Ovis aries: one gene and its partners. The protein of the gene in region 1 purifies or fractionates together with the protein of each later gene. This does not show direct contact. Links are inferred from orthologs where the notes say so. Each region holds a gene or a part of one and is shown on either strand. Other genes may lie near its edges.

Region 1 (3,500 bases):
GTGACTTCTGCTCCAAGGTGAAGAACACCATCTACTGCAATGTGGAGCCATCAGAGTCCAACATGCGCTGGGCACCTGAGTTCATGAACGACACTTTAGAGAACCCCGCTGCTCACACCTTCACCTACACGGGGCTAGGCAAGAGTCTTAGTGAGAACCCTGCTAACCGCTACAGCTTTGTCTGCAATGCCCTTATGCACGTCTGTGTGGGGCACCATGATTCGGATAGGTATGGGGCGTACTGAGTGAGGCATGGGCACCACGCTCCCGCCTGATGTTGGGAGGGATGACTTGCCCGGGAGGTACCACAACCTTGGTTATAGCCGGGGTGGAGATGAAAAGTTAATGAGTCTGAGGTTTTGCCAGAACAGGTTTTTTTGCTGAGGGCATTTGTACTTTTCCCCAGGGTGAATGACATCGCCATCCTGTGTGCAGAGCTGACCGGCTATTGCAAGTCACTGAGTGCAGAGTGGCTGGGAGTGCTTAAGGCCTTGTGCTGCTCCTCTAACAATGGCACTTGTGGTTTCAACGACCTCCTCTGCAATGTAGATGTGAGACTGGGGGTGGGGGCGCACCGGGCAGTCCCCAGGGCAGGAGTCTGCTCCCAGTGACTGTGAGAGCGGAGGGACAGCTTTATGCAGAGTGGAGGCCCAGCACTCAGAGTAGGAGAACTCTTTCCACACTGAGTCCTGGTGTGTGTCTGCTTTTTTCCTCCAGGTCAGTGACCTGTCTTTTCACGACTCCCTGGCCACTTTTGTTGCCATCCTCATCGCTCGGCAGTGTTTGCTCCTGGAGGATCTGATTCGCTGTGCGGCCATCCCTTCACTCCTTAATGCTGGTAAACTACCAATTTGTGACCCGTAGAAAGTCTAGACCCCCAATGTCAATACACACTCAATGGCTATACTCTCCTTGTTCACTGTGGGGCTCCTGGTGGCACCAGAAGCCAATTCTGTTGTGTGTCTCAGGCTGGGAGGGGCCTCTTTCTGACCCTGCACCTGTATCCCCAGTCTTTCCTGTTCCTGACCCTTCCAGGTTCTCCCCTCTACACTATAGAACAGTTGGCTCCCTCACCTCTCCTCCAATGTGTTATCTCCTTTTGCCTGACCTCAGCCACCTTTTTAGTGCCTCAGCACCCACAAACCCACATATAGCCCACCTTCATCCTTTCCCCGCCTCTGTGTCTTCTCTGTAGCTTGCAGTGAACAGGACTCTGAGCCAGGGGCCCGGCTTACCTGCCGCATCCTCCTCCATCTTTTCAAGACACCTCAACTCAATCCTTGCCAATCGGATGGAAGTAAGTGACTCCATCCAAGCCAGCCTGCCAAGGATAGTGTGGCTACCCTACCCCCACCGTTTCTACTTTGGCTTCCCCTGACTTCAGCTCTCTCCACCAGACAAGCCTACTGTAGGAATCCGCTCCTCCTGTGACCGCCACCTGCTGGCTGCCTCCCAGAACCGCATCGTGGATGGAGCTGTGTTTGCTGTTCTCAAGGCTGTGTTTGTACTTGGTATGGGGGTAGGAAGAGTGGTGCCAAAAGTGTGTATAGGGTGGAGCGCCAGCTAAACTACAAAGGGCAGTCTTTCTCTCTCCTAAAGCTGGTCTCTCTGACCTTTCTGGAGGATAGGAAGGAGGGAAGTATATTTCTGTCCCATAGGGCAGGATTTGGGGAGTGCTGCTTCTGTGGCTCTGGGGCAGGTCTCCACACAGCATTGGGATCTCACTTTGCACTCCGTATCTCCCGCCCGTGAACCGCAGGGGATGCGGAACTGAAGGGTTCGGGCTTCACTGTGACAGGAGGAACAGAAGAACTTCCAGAGGAGGAGGGAGGAGGTGGCAGTGGCAGTCGGAGGCAGGGTGGCCGCAACATCTCTGTGGAGACAGCCAGTCTGGATGTCTATGCCAAGTACGTGCTACGCAGCATCTGCCAGCAGGTCAGTCTCACCTTCTCTCACAGACCTCTTCAATGCTGCTATATAATATAGTCTTGTTTCCTGTCATGATCACACCACCTCCCCGCCATACATTTTGTCCCTCACCAACCGCTTGTCCATCCCCCTTATTCGTAACCCCCTCACTGGTTGGCCCAGTCCCCTAATTCTTGGCTTCCTCAGGAATGGGTAGGAGAACGTTGCCTTAAATCGCTGTGTGAAGACAGCAATGACCTGCAAGACCCAGTGTTGAGCAGTGCCCAGGCCCAGCGCCTCATGCAGCTTATCTGCTACCCACATCGGCTGCTGGACAACGAGGATGGGGAAAACCCACAGCGGCAACGCATTAAGCGTATTCTCCAGGTAGGCCAAGGTGACGGGGGTCTTGGAGGAAGTGGTAGGGCCTGAACCTGGGGTGAAATGATGGGAACCTTGAGAGAAAAAGAGAGGGAGAATTAAGTAGGAAGATGAATGAGGATATGGTGAGAGGTGGTGAGAGAAACAGCTCCAGCATGGGTTTCGAAGTCAAGCCAATATGGTCTAGACTCAAGAGTGAACCATTGGGTGAGGGCACACAGCTGGCTGGAGTAGGGCTTTGGCTTATCAGTGGGAGACAGAGCATCTGGGAGGTCTAGATTTTGGTCGTATGTGTCTGGCATGTCGATCGTAGCTCAGTGATGAGTAGTAATGCTGTTGGAAAGCTACTGCTTATTGAGTGGCTGCTTCATGCTGGGTACTGTGCTTAGTACTCCATGTAGATTTCCTTAGTTAGTCTTTACAACCCTGTGAAGTAGGCATGAATATCCCTGTTTTAGCATCAATGAAACTGAGGCTTGAAGAGGTTAAGTAACTTGCCCGAGGTTCAGTAACTCACGCAGCTGGTAAGTTTAGAGTCAGTATAGGAGCCCAGGTCTGCCTGCACCCTTCCTGCCTCGCCACACTGCTGCAGACATTCATGTGACTGGGGGTGGAAAAATAAAGCTGTTGAGGGAAACCTAAAGGAATGAGGCCTCTTCGGCTGAGAGAAGATAATGCCTCAGAGAGATTAACTAAGACTAGCCCTCGGGTCTGTAAAGGACTTTGAAAACAGGAGTGGCGAGCTTCAACTTCAACATCAAAGATTTAAGTTAAGCATTAAGCAGAACTTCCTGATGCTGAGGAATGTGAGGCTCTGGAGCAGGAAACTGGGGAAGATGTGAAATTTTTCCAAAACCACTTTTGAAATAGGATAGATTTTTTTTCAGTCATTTTGGATTATTTAAGTGTGATTTTTCCTAAAGAGGGAAAGTCGAGGGCCCTTTCAGACCTCCAGGCATATGTGATTCAAGGTTGTGAGAGATCAGGGGCTGGCATCAGAGTACTAAGTGTCTGGGATGACACAGTGATGACTAGATTGCTGATGGGGTCTCTGTCACAGAACTTGGACCAGTGGACCATGCGCCAGTCTTCGTTGGAACTACAGCTCATGATCAAGCAGACCCCTAACAATGTGAGTGGTTCCCAGACCCTCTCTCATGCTCACTTCCAACAATATGTGTCAGGGAAGGGGGCTGCCATAGAAGAGCCTA
Region 2 (3,991 bases), on another chromosome or scaffold:
GCTCAGGCGGGGTTGTGGGAGGCAGGGCCTCAGCCACGGAGGCAGCCCGGCTCTCTGGGGGCCCCAGAGGGACAGGAGACCAGGCAAGAGGGCCCTCGGGTCCCATCACCATTCCACACAAGGTCAGTGAAGACTCGTGGTGGCCGGGCCCTGGGCTGGGGCCCTGAAGGGACACAAATCAGCTTAAGTAAAGGGACCTCTCCTTGAGGAGCAACAGGCTTCAGGAGGGGGTAAGGCACAGGCCCTCCAGTGACAACAAGAGCGTACGCTTAGAGAGCGTTTCCTGCGTTCGAGGTCCAGGCCTAAGTACTTTTACAAATGTGGCTCCCAGCCCTATCAGGGCTTCCCTGGTGGTCCAGTGACTGAGAACCCACCTGCCAATGCTGGGGACATGGGTTCGATTCCTGGTCTTGGAAGAGTCCACATGCCACAAGGCAGCAAAGCCCATGCACCCCAGCTACTGAGCCTGCGAGCAGCAACTACTGAACCCTGCACACCCTAGGGCCCACGAGCCACAGCTGCTGAGCCCGAGGGCCGCAGCCGCTGAGGGCCTGCTCCACAACAAGAGAAGCCACCACAAGGAGAAGCCTGCTCACTGCAGCTAGAGAAAACCCAGGCACAGGTGCCAAGACCCAACACGGCCAAATATTTACATGAAATGTTAAAGTCCTATCAGCCCTGTGCAGAAGGTACTGCTGTTCTCCTCATCTTGTAGAGGAGAAAACCGAGGCACACAGAAGTTAGGAAACTTCCACCCACCATAGCACTATAAAGGCTAGAGCCAGAATCTTGGCCCAGGGAGCCAAGAATCCATGCTCTCAGTGCTGTACTCTGCCACCTCTGTACGTGCAAAGGCAAGGCAAGAACCCCATGAGACAGTATAAACAAGCTAACATGAAGATTCAGAGATGGTCCCCCGCAGAGGGTCAGAATCAAGGAGGGCTTCGTGCAGGAGGTCGCACAAGCACCACTTCTGGAAGGAGAGTGGGGACTTTGGGCCTTTCTCAGTGGCAGGGGCAGAAGGTATAGAGCAGAGAAAGCTGAGGCAAGAGCAGACAGAAACGGGACGCAGGGGACCCAACTCCCAGCATATGACCCCCACCACTCGAGAGGCCACCCCCACTCCTGCCCAGTGCCCAGAGAGAAAGAATGCATAGCTGAACCGAGGCCCGGCCACAGTGACCACGGTCTGGATTCACCCTCCGTCTCTCCAGCATCCCAGGCTGCGTTCTCGCCTCCCTCTGACACCTCCCATCCAATCCTCTCACCCTTCCTGTTTGTACTGGTCCCCTTGCACACCTGTTCACAAGGGTGGGTGAGAGGCCAAAACTACTAAAAATTCTCTATAACACAAATGTTTGGTGGCATTTAATTTAGACCAAAGTCACCAAGCTATCTTGTGCCCATGCAGCCATGTGGCCTCAGGACCCCAAGAGATAGGGTGGCAGGTCCCTGGGCTGGACACCCCTTCTCTCTGCCTTGCCTCCACTTATCTCTGAGGCCTCTTCCAGTCACGGGGTCTGAGCCTCAGTTTTCTCTCTGGATCTGTTTGGTGTGTTGTGTTTCAGGACTGAAGGCCTCGTGAGCACAGAGTACTCATCTCTCTTCTCCATCCCTAAGGCTTGCCATGGAAAGACCAGCTGGGTGGATGCTCAAGGCTAATTCAAAGCTGGCGGCATTGGCCAGTCTCCCGCGCGCCTTCCATGTAAGCTTCTAAGAGCTTGTTGGTACTGAATCACCATCACCGTAATATCTGATAATAGCTGCCGTTTACTGAATGCTTATTGCCTGATGCACAGTAATCTAGAAATGTCTCATGGATTAGCTCATTTCATCATTTAAACAATGCTACATATGGTTGGATGGCATCACTGACTCAGTGGACGTGAGTCTGAGCAAACTCCAGAGGTGGTGAAGGACAGGGAAGCCTGGTGTGCTGCAGTTAGACACGACTTAGTGACTGAACAATATATCAGGAAGCTGAGGCCCAGAAAGGGTTAAAGGCGGTGCCCAAGGTCACACTCAGGTGCAGGGCTTCACAGGGAGGGAGGGAGCACCCGGAGGGCAATGACTGTGTTTTGTTCCTCATTGTCTCTGCCCCAAGTCCCTGCAAGGCTGGCCTTTACTAGCACAGGAGAAGTGCGAAGACAAAGCTGTGAATTCTAAAGAACTGCCTCCTGTCCGGGAATCTGTGAAAACCACCTGCCCCAGGCCCATGCAGTGGAGGGCTCTGAGTCCTTTCTCAGCTCTGGGCCAGCTCGACTCCAGTTGCAAGGACCTACCTGTCCCAAGGTGGGCCTCGCCTGGGTGCACGGAGATCCCAGGATGGGCAGCTGGCTCCTTCTGGTCCCACCAGGCAGGCCAGGCCCGGTCAGTGCCAGGCCTGTTGCTGAGGCACTTCAGCTTTGGGTGGACTCCCCTCCTCGGATCCTGGCTCCTCCTGAATCCTTCTGTGGAAGCTGCTGCTGCTGCTGCTGCTGCTGCCAAATTGCTTCAGTCATGTCCGACTCTGCGCGACCCCATAAACGGCAGCCCACCAGGCTCCCGCGTCCCTGGGATTCTCCAGGCAAGAACGCTGGAGAGGGTTGCCATTTCCTTCTCCAATGCAGGAAAGTGAAAAGTGAAAGTGAAGTCGCTCAGTCGTGTCCGACTCCTAGCGACCCCATGGACTGCAGCCTACCAGGCTCCTCCGTCCATGGGATTTGCCAGGCAAGAGGACTGGAGTAGGGTGCCATTGCTTTCTCCTTCTTCTGTGGAAGCAAACAACCCCAAACCTCTGCCGGTGTTAAGGCTGATCCTCAAGAACCGAGGGCCAGGCTCCTGGGCCTCTTGCGCCCCCTGGTGGAAGGAACAAAGTAGTGCCTATGCCTGCAACTGCTTTGTGAATCCAACCTTCCCTTTTCTCTCCTCGCTCCATCCTCTCTCCTCTCCTCACCTTCATTCACTCACCCTTGACTGCACGTCCACTGGGGGCTGGGCACCTGCCGTGAGATGGGGATGCATACCGTGTCCTGTGACTGTGACACTGTGCTTGTCCTGAGGTGCTCACCTTGTACTCACTTAAGTCGTTCCCTCATCCTACACACAGCTGCGGAGCTTCTACTCTCCGCCAGGCTCTCCTCCAGGCGCCAGAGACGCCACCTCTCCCCACACGGAATTGACAGTCTAACAGGACATTCAGCCTGGTTAACAGAGGGTTATAATGGAGAAAGCGCAGGCGCTAGAGAAGAGACGGATGTGAAGACAGCAGCGCTGACGCCGAGCAGCGTGTGCACGGGGGCGGCAGGAGAAGACCTCAGAGTGACATCTGGGCTGGGCTTGGGTGGCTGTGTGGGATCTCTCCGGGAGTAGGACAAAGGGTGTGGATTGGGTGGGGCAGGGAGGAAAGATTATCCCACACAAAGAGGGCAGAACTAGCGAGCACATAGAGTCCCGGCATGTTTAGGGAGCTACAAATAGCCTGCTGTGGTCAGAGCGTGCGGTTAGAGGGAAGAGGGCAGCAGGAGAATGGAAGGGCCTTGCAAGCTGTGGAAGGGGTTTGGGTCTCTTCCTGCAGCCTGTGAGGAGCCACCGAAGGTTTTAAGAGACAAGATGATACCACCACGTTCGCGTCTTATTTATGGTAATTAATTAATTAGGATGTGCCAGGTCTTAGTTGCGGCAATGTAGGATCTTTGATCTTAGTTGCACCATGTGCGATTTTTAGTTGCAGTATGCGGAGTCTTAGTTGCTACATGTGGAATCCAGTTCCCTGGCTAGGGACTGAACCCACGCCCCTTGCATTGGGAGTATAGAGTCTTAGTCATTGGACCACCAGAGAAGTCCCTGCATTTTATTTAGAAAAGGACCACTAGACCAATGGAATGTGGGCTATAAGAGCAAGCACCAGGGGCTCGTGTACTCCAGCTGGGTGACATGGATTCACTTCTCCAAGCTGCAGACTCCTCATCCATCAAAGGCAGTAATGATGCCCCATCGGCAGAGCTGTTGA
Region 3 (4,286 bases), on another chromosome or scaffold:
GCTCTGTCCCTTGTACATACTTTCAATCCACAGTAGTTGTGGTAATTACTATTATTATCATTACACCGCCCTTATGTCCCCAGGCAATTCCAAGGGTGTACAGCCTCTTCAAGCCCGTCTGGTCCTGTCCCAGGGGGTCCTTCTTCCTCCTTCTCCACCAGAACCCTGAACTTTCCCTCAGGGGGAGAGGCCCACAGTCAGCAGCCCCCCACCTCCCTGTGCTCACCTGTGGGGTGCAGTTTTTATAAGAAAGCTGTGCTAAGGCTGTTACCAAAGTGCCCTCTGACACACCGTCCACCCTCCCCACTTCCTTCCACAGTCTCCTCCCCTGGGACTTGCCTCTACAGACTCCTCCTAGATGCCTCTGAAATACCAGCACTGATGCTTCCTTGGCACCGGCCACCTTGCTCTTCAGTAGAGGGGTACTTCCCAACTAGGATGCCACTCCCCATCACACAGCCCCCTCATTGTGGCTTGGGAGGGCTTGTTTTGAGGAACATACCCACAAACCCACCAGGAGTCCCCTACTTTGACCTAAGAGCCCACTGCTGCTAAGTCGCTTCAGTCGTGTCTGACTCTGTGCAGCCCCATAGACAGCCACCCACCAAGCTCCGCCGCCCGTGGGATTCTCCAGGCAAGAACACAGGAGTGGGTTGCCATTTCCTTCTCCAATGCATGAAAGTGAAACTGAAGTCGCTCCGTCGTGTCCGACTCTTAGCAATCCCATGGACTGCAGCCTACCAGGCTCCTCCATCCATGGGATTTTCTAGGCAAGAGTACTGGAGTGGGGTGCCATTGCCTTCTCCGCCTAAGAGCCCAGGGCTCATGCAAAGGACACCTTCAAAGGTCAGCCATGTGTCTGAAGTTGGAAAGTGGTTTGGGCTCTGCCATGACCCTGAACTAAAGATTTTAGAGGTGAGCACACTGAGACCGGGGGCTTCAGGAGCTGGCCCACAGGTACGGAGAGTAGCTGACACTGACTTCTCCCTCGGATACAGTATTTATTCCTGGTACTAATCCCCTTCGGCCATCTCTGCTCGGAGTAAGTTGAGACAGACCTCACCCTTCCCCCACAGTTAGCACAGCGTGTGTCACCCAGAAGATGCATATTAACTGTTCGGTTTATTTCAGGGTCCATAGGGTAGGCGCAAGACCTCGTCCCTGGAGGCTTCTGCGCGGGTGGGAGCCGTGGGTCCTTCCCCTCGGATCCTCCACGGGCCCAGGGCCTGACACCCGCAGGTGCGGAGGTGCTGTCCACTCTTCCTGAGGCCCCATTTATCTTCCTCTACAGGTTGCTTTTGGATTCTCTTTGTAACGTGAATAGGAATGAGATGTTATTCCTGAAGTATACCTTCTATTTCTGACTTTTGAAAAATTTAGCTGTCTCTGCGCACCACCAAATCCAGGCTACCAAGGACCAGCCGCCTGTTGCCTAGTAACGACCGCCAGGCCCGGCCCCGCCTCCGCGGCGCACGATGGTGACGTCATAATCAGCAACACTTCCGGCGCGCGAAGCCGACTGTCCCCCTGATCGGCTGCTGGGGTCCGGGACACGATGGCTTCTGTGGGGGTTGCTGCCGGCCGGCAGGGTGAGGACACGCTGCCGCCGCCCGCAGAGCCTCCGCTGCCGGAGATGAAGCCGCTGCCGCAGCCGCAGCCGCCGCCGTCTGTCTCTGCGCAGCAGCCGCAGCCCGCGCCGAAGCCTCCATCCCCTGCCGGCGTGAAGGCGGAGGAGAACTGCTCCTTCCTTCCCTTGGTTCACAGCATCATCAAATGGTAAGGGCCCGGGGGAATCAGCCCGCACGCCCCCGCTGCCCATCACATGTCCAAAATCCAGGGGCGCCCCGCGGTACCAAGGGGGAGACACACCCGGAGGGGAGCGGCCACGCCGAGGCCACCGCGAGCAGTCCCAAGAGTTCAGCATTCCCTCCTGGGAGTTACCAGGCCCCGTGCTGGCAAGCAGCGTTCTTAAAACGAAGCCGATGTAGACAGCAAGTGCACAGACGCTGCGGGCAGACCATTGGGGTGCAGCCTGGTGAGCCTGTTTTCCCACAGATCCGACAGATACGGGTCATCTTCCATGTGTGGCACACTGCTAAGTGCTGTGGCGTGTACACGTGGAGGGGCCGACTTTTCATCCCCACCTTGCTCACCAGTTAGAAGGGGAAACTAATGAGCGGAATAACCCATAATGCAAAGAGATTATAGGGGTGATGTTGGGAATTTTACAGGAGTAGGACGCTGCCCTCCGGACAGCACTGGGGTGCCCTGTCCCGGCGACACGGGGTGATTGTCTGCTTTTGGCCAGTCTTCAGATCACCTGAGTTTTCAAACTTATCCTTAGAAGGAAAACACACACACACACACAGCCAAAATCTCCCCAATCCCCACATTTGCCCAAATTATTGTTAACTGTTATTTATGTCTACATGATAGCAAAGTTTAAACCCCTGGGCTTGAACTTTTTATTCAGCCATTAAAAAATAAAAGCAAAGTGGATTACAACAAAGTTGTAATCTTTTACAGTAACAAAGTTGTTATTTTTACAGTAACATTCAAGTGAACATCAACATGCTCTTGGATGTTTTGCTGAAATGGAATTGATACTCACAATACAAAAGTATTGGTGATGGCCTAGCCGGTTTAGAGTTGAGGCGGATTAGATTCACTTGCCCTGGGATGACCTGACACTTCCACTGCTTTTCAGACGACTGTGAAGACTTTGTTCTCACAGTAGTCACAGTAGACCTTGACTTCATCTGGCTTCACTTGGTGTGAACATAGTGTTTATCGGGCAAGGCAAACTGTTCTATTCCCAGGAGCCTGTGATCAGGTAGCACTTCTAGGCAGAGTGACCAAGCAAACACACACAGAAGCAGCCCTGGAGTCCCAGGCATTATCCAGGATCAAGCCAAATATGCTTATTCGGGTTTTAGAAAAAAATACGGAAAAATGAAAACACACAGTGTTCTCCGAGTCTATTTTTGACCCTGATAGAGCAGTTGGGTTGGGCTGGCCTTAAAGATGGAACTGTATTGTCTGTGAGAAAGAACATGGGCTTTGAAGTCAGATCTTCTTGAGTTCAGATCTGCATGTTGATGCTTGCTTGTGTTGGAATTTTAGTTAAGTGCATAGCCTTTCTAGACCTTGATTTTCTTATCTCTAATATATGAGTAATAATTGTTCTTTGTTCAGTCGCTCAGTTGTATCTGACTCTTTGGAATCCCATGGACTGCAGCACACCAGATTTCCCCATCCTTCACTATCTCCCAGAGTCTACTCAATCTCATGTCCATTGAATAGGTGTTGCCATCCAAAAATGAACCACAGATGATAGCTCTATAAGGTACCAGCTGAATGACCTTGGTCAGACAGCTTAAAGGCTTGTACTTTCCCAAGATTTGTTTTAGGAGAGAGTCAGCCAGAGTGTCTGGACTGGGGAACACTAGGCACATTGTGGGAGCTGGGGGAGGGGAGCCATACTGAGAATAGGAGCTTGAGAGCAAGTCCACAGACTGGACATTGAGACCCAGCCCCACCCTTCACCCATACCTCCCCTTTCCTGTCCCCAGCTTCTCAACTGACAGCCAAAGAAAATAGACTCTCTTGGGTGTCTGACCCCAGAGACACTGAACCAGGGAGTCGAGGAGTCATCCGAAGTTTTTGAGCTAGTGCTTGGGTTTTGTGAAGGTAGATGGGACAGAGGGCTTTAGGAGGAGGAGAGGACTGGGGTCCACAGGAAGCTGGGGAGTAGGAGGAGGAACAGGGATGAACTGCAGGTGGTGGCAGGCAGAGCTGCAGCACTGACTGAGGGGACTGTGGGTGCCCAGCACACACAGGTGCAGGTGTGGGATGGTCATCCCCATTCAGACCGCAGGTGATCAGTTACAAACATCCACATACTCGTAACAGCCATGTCATCTAGCTGTCCGAGGTGCATTTCAGGTGAAAAAAGAACCAAGAATCAGAACCATGTGTGTAGTGTGGTTACATTTTTGTCAAAACAAATTGAAAAGTGATTCAGTTACACATATATGGACATTCTTTTAAAAAAAATATTCTCTTCCATTATGGTTTATCATAGCTATTAAGTATAGTTCTCTGTGCTATATGGTAGAACCTTATTGTTTAAAAAAAATTTTTTTTTTTGTTTGTTTGTACCTTGTCCTTTCAGACTTATGTGTTGTGAATCAGTTTTCTTAAAACTATAATTTAATTTCAAAATTGCCTTGGGACTTAAATTCATAACAATGTGTTAGCACATATGCCATCCAAATGGAATGATT

The links. Proteins that work in one complex are often made in the same cells at the same time.
Region 2: the proteins of MED12 (region 1) and VDR purify together in Homo sapiens (affinity purification with mass spectrometry; 3 studies listed by BioGRID, with this or other methods). This does not show direct contact. The link is inferred for Ovis aries from reciprocal best matches to the Homo sapiens genes MED12 and VDR.
Region 3: the proteins of MED12 (region 1) and MED9 purify together in Homo sapiens (affinity purification with mass spectrometry; 6 studies listed by BioGRID and IntAct, with this or other methods). This does not show direct contact. The link is inferred for Ovis aries from reciprocal best matches to the Homo sapiens genes MED12 and MED9.

The regions. Positions count from the first base shown.
Region 1 is NC_056080.1:63,840,805-63,844,304, forward strand, and holds part of MED12 (mediator of RNA polymerase II transcription subunit 12), read left to right. Parts: intron 1-1; coding exon 2-229; intron 230-406; coding exon 407-551; intron 552-717; coding exon 718-838; intron 839-1,195; coding exon 1,196-1,297; intron 1,298-1,397; coding exon 1,398-1,511; intron 1,512-1,759; coding exon 1,760-1,935; intron 1,936-2,115; coding exon 2,116-2,295; intron 2,296-3,349; coding exon 3,350-3,421; intron 3,422-3,500. UniProt on the Homo sapiens protein: Component of the Mediator complex, a coactivator involved in the regulated transcription of nearly all RNA polymerase II-dependent genes.
Region 2 is NC_056056.1:138,634,893-138,638,883, reverse strand, and holds the start of VDR (vitamin D3 receptor), read right to left. Parts: upstream 2,801-3,991; 5' UTR 2,283-2,800; intron 1-2,282.
Region 3 is NC_056064.1:34,574,073-34,578,358, reverse strand, and holds the start of MED9 (mediator of RNA polymerase II transcription subunit 9), read left to right. Parts: upstream 1-1,486; 5' UTR 1,487-1,555; coding exon 1,556-1,776; intron 1,777-4,286.